2 linked regions of the Bombyx mori genome follow. The protein of the gene in region 2 interacts with the protein of the main gene of each other region in a pairwise test. Links are inferred from orthologs where the notes say so. Each region holds a gene or a part of one and is shown on either strand. Other genes may lie near its edges. The genes, in order: mitochondrial matrix protein p33 and phospholipid scramblase 1.

Region 1 (2,945 bases), on a different chromosome or scaffold from region 2:
TATGATTCATTACAATAAAACGTAGGTATATTTCTTGGGATTTACAAGATTCCTTTTGGTATGCTGTTGATCACACAATGAGGTCCTATCAAATTTATTTGAAAAAACAATTAAACTAAGTGCCTTATGTGTTGTTTAATTTTACATAAAATTTGTGTCCAAGTGGCTTGAAACTAAAATTAAATCTCTCTAAGCAACTTGTAAGCTACTTACTAGAAAATACACATAGAGAGGTTGGCTTTCAGATCTTTTTGAGCTGATATAATAATATGTGAAACTAATATCTATACTAATATATCAATCTAGTGGTTTTTACGGATGTTCCGTTATAACTACTGAGCCATGCCGATTGACTTGAAACTTAGTATCCATGTAGAAAATACATGTACTTATATTTATATGAGTGTTGGACTCCCTAATAATAATGACAATAAATAATAATGTTAATTTTAAATCCCAAGCGAAGCGGGCGAGTACGGCTAGTATTATATAAAACCGACAAGATGCTGTATCTTACATACTAAATAAAGATGAATAGATAACATACCCCATCGAGCACATCACCAGCGACTGCATACACTTTGTCATTCCATTCACCCTTATATAGGGTTATTTCGTCAATGCCGAACACATCGTCTGAAAACACAATTTAAAAGTAGTTAAATTATAGTACTTAGTTTCCGTTGAAGTTGAGTTGATTAACTGCAATTACATTAGCCTACTAGCCTCTGAGAACTACTATGACCAAAGCTTACAGCATGGCCGGATCTGAACAAATCTTACGACTTAACATATCTTTTGCGTGAAGTGGAAATTTTCAATCATTTTTGCCCCTATAGAACTATAAAAATTATAATCTGGTATTTTGTATGTGATACCAAATAATTTATATTTGCAAAAAGCTCTGATCTTTTTTGTCTATAATGTGTTGATTCAATGCTAACAATGTCAATAATTGAATTATTTTTGCTTACATAGACTATTTTAATATATTTTCATTTTATTTTCAATAATCAAATTTACAGACAACTACTGTTAGATAAAGGCCTCCTGAAGGTCCAAAACAACCCCCAAAAAATCAAACCCGCAAAATTATAATTTGCATTATTACTGGTGGTAGGACCTCTTGTGAATCATCACGGGTAGGTACCACTACCCTGCCTATTTCTGCCGTGAAGCAGTAATGCGTTTCGGTTTGAATATATACTTGAGACCTTAGAACTTATATCTCAAGGTGGGTGACGCATTTACGTTGTAGATGTCTATGGGCTCCAGTAACCACTTAACACCACGTGGGCTGTGATATCGTCCACCCATCAAAGCAATAAAAAAAAAACATCGACATCATGCTGCTCAGATCTACTGGATTCTTGCTACCTTCACACCTTTAGTACTTCATCTAATACAACAGCAATTTTGATACCCCTATACACAGATCAAAAGTGAATAATGATGACACCTTGATATTTAAGATTGAGGTTATATATTAATTGTATTATGGCAGAAACAAAAAGGGAAAAAAGGAAAGGGGAGGGTGAGTCTTGACACATTCTTGCACTATCACCAAATTCTAAACTGAAATAAACTTTTTTCTTTGTAAATTGTATATCGACACTTGAAAGGCAAATGTGACTAAGCGACAGTGCGTGAACTTTACAGTAGACTAATTTAAAGTTGAAATATTTGAAAACAAAATTTATTTTAATGAATCTAGCTGTAGTAGAATCTAGCTAGTAGCTGTAGGATTGGAATGCTTTTAATAGACCTAGAAATATTTTTTTTTGTGCATTGAATATGGTTATTACCTATCATTTATGTACAAAGCAGTTATTGTCGCTTAGTCACGTTTGTCTTTCAAGCGTCGATATGGTAAACAGACTATTTTGACTTCTTAGTACTCAATCTTTAGACCCATTTGATTAATCAGAATCAAGAAATAATTAAGTTTATGTATACTCACTATATTCATCAGCAGAAGCTGCAGGTGGATCTTGAAGATAGGAGCAGGTGAAACCAAGGGTGGTGTCTCCTCGGACTAGGTCAACCTCAAACTGAGGTTTGGAACGCATCTCAGAGAACTCTTGCTTCTCAGTCTGAACATCACCCTCAAAGTCATCAGAGTCCACAGTGTGATTAACGTTGAATGTGACACGAATTCTGAAAAAAATATATAGTTAGACTTAAAATTTCACTATTTTTAATGATATTTCTGTGGGCTTGTTTCTTTAGTTTTTCGAATTTCAACAAATTGACGAAGATTGCTGGGCAGTAAAATAAGTATTTGGCAACATTTATTAACAACTGTTTCCCCAAAAAAAAATTATTCAATATTTCTCCTTCTCAAGATTTCATTACTTACGTTTCATCTTTAAGCTGCTTTGTTAAAACAACTTCAGCACCGTCTCCCTTTACAGTAAAGCCTTCGACTTCAGCAGGGAGAGACTTGACCTTCTGTGCTTTGCGTTCAGCAACTATTTCTTCTGTCAGGAACTCTACCAGTTCTCTTTCACCTGAATTTATATAAATTGGTTTTATTATGTACATTGAGAATGAAAATAAGTGCAATTTATTCTACAATACTGTAAAACATTCAATAAGTAGGTAATGAATTTTAATCAACAAACAACAAGTTTATAATACACAAACAAGGTATTTTTTTAATTTCTCTCATTTCACTACTATTTTATTAACTACAACAACTACATTAGATTTACATTACTCTTGATTATAATGATGAATAGTAATAACTGCAGATCAACAGAGAAAATCCAACTATACTATTCAACACTATATTTCATTGTGCCTGTCAGAATATAAGTTAGTAGGATGTTAACATTTTTAGAGTAGAGAATAGTACTACAGATAGCGAGTTTGGATATACAGTCAAAATCTGTTATAACGACATCGAAGGGACTGCTCATATTAAGTCGCAAAAACCGATAGTC
Region 2 (3,841 bases):
CTTAACAAACAGCGTAAAATTTTTTTTTTAAATGTTAATTAATACCTATGGTAGATGCAAAAACAGCAATATTAGATATTACGAAAAAAAACTATTTTTCATAACATTTTTTAGAAATTTCATTTTTTGTTAATTAAAAAAAATTATAATTATCAAAATAATAAAGATTAAAAAAATTTTTTTGCTTAACTTTATTAAGTACTTAAATGATAAGAGCTCCACGAAGGGAAAAATTTATAGATGAATTATTGTAGCTTTTATACCGTAATTTATAAAAACAGAGATTGGAAAAAAGTTAGTTAATTAACAATGGTGTAAATTTTTTAAAAATCGATATAAAATTTTTTTTTCACCGAGGTTTTTTTCGTTCAAGTGTTTAGATTACACCATAATTTATTCAAATTTTTAAATTGTTATTTAATACTATAAAAAAAATATTTTAGGTGATATACCGGCTTTTTAGACGGCGCGCCTATGGCGTAACGACCTCGCGGAGCGCTATTTTCAGCGTTAATTTTTTTTTATAAATAATAGAGATAGAATTCCGGAAGTTGGGACTTTTTTATTGGAAATTTCCTCCTCTTTCAGCATCTTTTTTCAAAATTCCTTAAATATCATTATTTTAGAAATAATTAAGGAAAAACCAAATTCCTTTTTTTTTAAATCTTATTTTGTTTATAACAATCGCAATTTTTTATGTGCTAATAAGCCCTTAAAAAACATTTTTGTAGACATCATTCCGCATCCAATGAGCTATCGTACATATTTTTAGGAGCTTTATGTCTATTTAACACGTTTTTGAACTTGTTGACTAGACTATACTGTAAGGACGCACTGATCAGTATCATTGTTTTGTCTATTTTTGTCATGAAGTATGTCAAGCAGGTACATTCCGGTTTGAAAATTAGTATAGCAGATAATGTAATACAATTAAAAAATGGATCAGGTTTCGTCATTCTTATGAATTGTAAGTGAACTAATTTGCCCATCTACATATGTGTGTTAAAAGTCTCGTTGTTAAACTTTCTGTTAAACTCTCTATTAAAAGTCATTGTCATTTCATTTTAAATAATAATCACACGTTGGACTGGGAATTGGGTAAAACACGAAAACGATTCTCTCTTTGTAGCACTACAAGTACATCAATAATACGGGAGTGGCCTTGTCTAATTGTGGTAGTTAACGAAACTGCTATGACATAACATGAATTAAAAATACAAGGTGAAATATTTCGCGAACCTGAATAAGAATAAATGTTATGATAACATAAACGAAAAAGCATTTTAATCCAAATAAACTGTTTATAAGTCTGAAATTCCTTGAGACTATTGTTATTGGTGACAATGACTGTTTACGTCGCGGTGAAAGCGCAATTTTGCAGCGATCCCTATAATACCATAGCTAATCGTCCAAATTAACCGTTTGGTGACAGACAGTAAATTAATTTTGTTCACGAGCACTAAGCGTAACTAGGATTGACTATCTGAGAACAAAAACATTCCCCTGTACATCAATTGCAATTCATTGTGTCCATTGTAGCGAATTTTTGACGAGCTGAATTAAAATAGTAACATAATTGAATATTTATTTTGTTTGATGGCTTTACCAATATACCTATGAAATTGCTTAATATTTGATGACACTGCCTCTTCTTTGTTGCTCCTAGAATCCAACATAAAAACTTTCAAAAATATATTTTGTAATGAATGAGATTAAATAATTAAGTCTCGAACACAAAAAATTTTCCAGGTGTATTCGAAGGATGGAGAAACGAAAGTTGGCAAAATCACGAAGTCGTGGTCTGGATTTGCACGCGAAGCCTTCACCGATGCCGACAATTTTGGGATAAGTTTCCCGATGGACCTGGACGTCAAAATCAAAGCTGTACTCCTTGGAGCATGTTTTCTCATAGTAACTATGTTTTTTCTTAATTTTGCTAACGACAAAACTATTACTGAAGCACTTTTTTTATATTATCGGCTGAATTATGACATGTGAGCTCAGGATCGCTAATTATAATTAGTTATCGGATTCTATAGACGTGACGTGGAAATTGAATGGAAAATTTGAAATCGTCGTGCCTAAAAGATAAGACGTCCGGTGCATTCTTATGTAGCGATGCATCGGTGTTCGAATCACGCTGGCAGGTACCAATTTTTCCAATGAAGTACGTACTTAACAATGTTCACGATTGACTTCCACGCTGAAGGAATAACGTCGTGTAATAAAAATCAAAACGCGCAAAATTATAATTTGTGTAATTACTGGTGGTAGGACGTCTTGAGAGTCCGCACGGGTGGGCTCCGATAACCACGTAATCACATCAGGTGGTCCGGTCCGTGAGTTCATCCAACTATCTAAGCAATAAAAATAAAATCTTGATAGAACAGTTACCTCATCCGTTCAATCTTATACCGTTTAAAAAAGACTATAATAGGCACCTATAAAATAATTTATTTTTATTATTACTTTACTGTCATGGTTCCATATTTTTAATAATCGGAAGTTACGATATCATTCATAATGCCAACTGGTTCCCAATTTTAAGTAGTATTACCGTTTCGCTCACAGTCCCTTACAGTGAGTACAGAGATAAGTACAATATACTCCATATTCTATTGTTTTTCTATATTAGTTTAGTAGGGTAGATGAACTCACGGTCTACAGGGAGTGTTATGTTGATACCGAAATGAATAGACATTACATCACATTTTTGGAACCTCTGGGTCTGCGGAAGGACTTCGGTTCCCTCTTTTTTTTGTACCGTATGTTCCATGGGGAGTGCTCTGAGGAATTGTTCGAGATGATACCGGCATCTCGTTTTTACCATCGCACCGCCCGCCACCGGAGTAGAGTTCATCCATACTACCTGGAGCCACTGCGGTCATCCACAGTGCGTTTCCAGAGGTCTTTCGTGCCACGTACCATCCGGCTATGGAATGAGCTCCCCTCCACGGTTTTTCCCGAGCGCCATGACATGTCCTTCTTCAAACGAGACTTGTGGAGTGTATTAAGCGGTAGGCAGCGGCTTGGCTCTGCCCCTGGCATTGCTGAAGTCCATGGGCGACGGTAACTATTCACCATCAGGTGGGCCGTATGCTCGTCTGCCCACAAGGGCAATAAAAAAAATGAAAAAACACGAAAACTGCCATTTAGTTGAAAAAATGAGAACCCATGCTTGTGAAGCTGGAAAATACTCTGGACCTTTCTTCCCCTGTCTATTCGCTGGTAGCCTAATGGGTTACTCGTAACTACACGCGGACGGGTAGGTGAGCTCACAGGTTCACCCTGGGAGAATTTGCTTACACGAGCCCTAACAAGAGCAGTGCTTCGCAGAATCTACAACTGGATCTGAATCGCGATCCGCTGAGAAGATCCGGCGAGAAACTCAATGGCTTGTGTCTATGGGTTAGGGCTCTGGACCAAAAGCAATCCCACAACCCTAATAAATAAAAATTAAAATGTGCAAGCCGTAGGTTCTTCACATAATCTCTTACTTATTGTGCCAGAATGTTTCAGTCAACTTCATTAGTTACAGGCATACATATCAAGAATACCAATGCTGCAATCAATTTTCAATCGAAATTCCGAATATTCAATAGGAATATACATTAATTAAATATTATCTTTACAGGATTTTATGTTCTTTGAAAAAGGCAACAACAATCGCAACTGATGAATTCAAATTTCTTCAACACAACTGAACTTTTTTTTTTATATTCAAAAAAGAAGGGCCAAGGCCTTATTGATTACCACTGCTGCAACTTCCAACTATGAGATTTAAGTTTTGATACGATTTTACATGTTTTTCTAATATTAAGATATTAACAAAACTCTTATC

Evidence for each region.
Region 1: the proteins of phospholipid scramblase 1 (region 2) and mitochondrial matrix protein p33 interact in a two-hybrid assay, tested with the Caenorhabditis elegans proteins (2 studies listed by BioGRID). The link is inferred for Bombyx mori from reciprocal best matches to the Caenorhabditis elegans genes scrm-1 and cri-3.

What each region holds. Positions count from the first base shown.
Region 1 is NC_085114.1:15,032,371-15,035,315, forward strand, and holds part of mitochondrial matrix protein p33, read right to left. Parts: intron 2,511-2,945; coding exon 2,360-2,510; intron 2,158-2,359; coding exon 1,961-2,157; intron 637-1,960; coding exon 548-636; intron 1-547.
Region 2 is NC_085111.1:8,953,091-8,956,931, reverse strand, and holds part of phospholipid scramblase 1, read left to right. Parts: intron 1-1,749; coding exon 1,750-1,911; intron 1,912-3,634; coding exon 3,635-3,676; 3' UTR 3,677-3,841.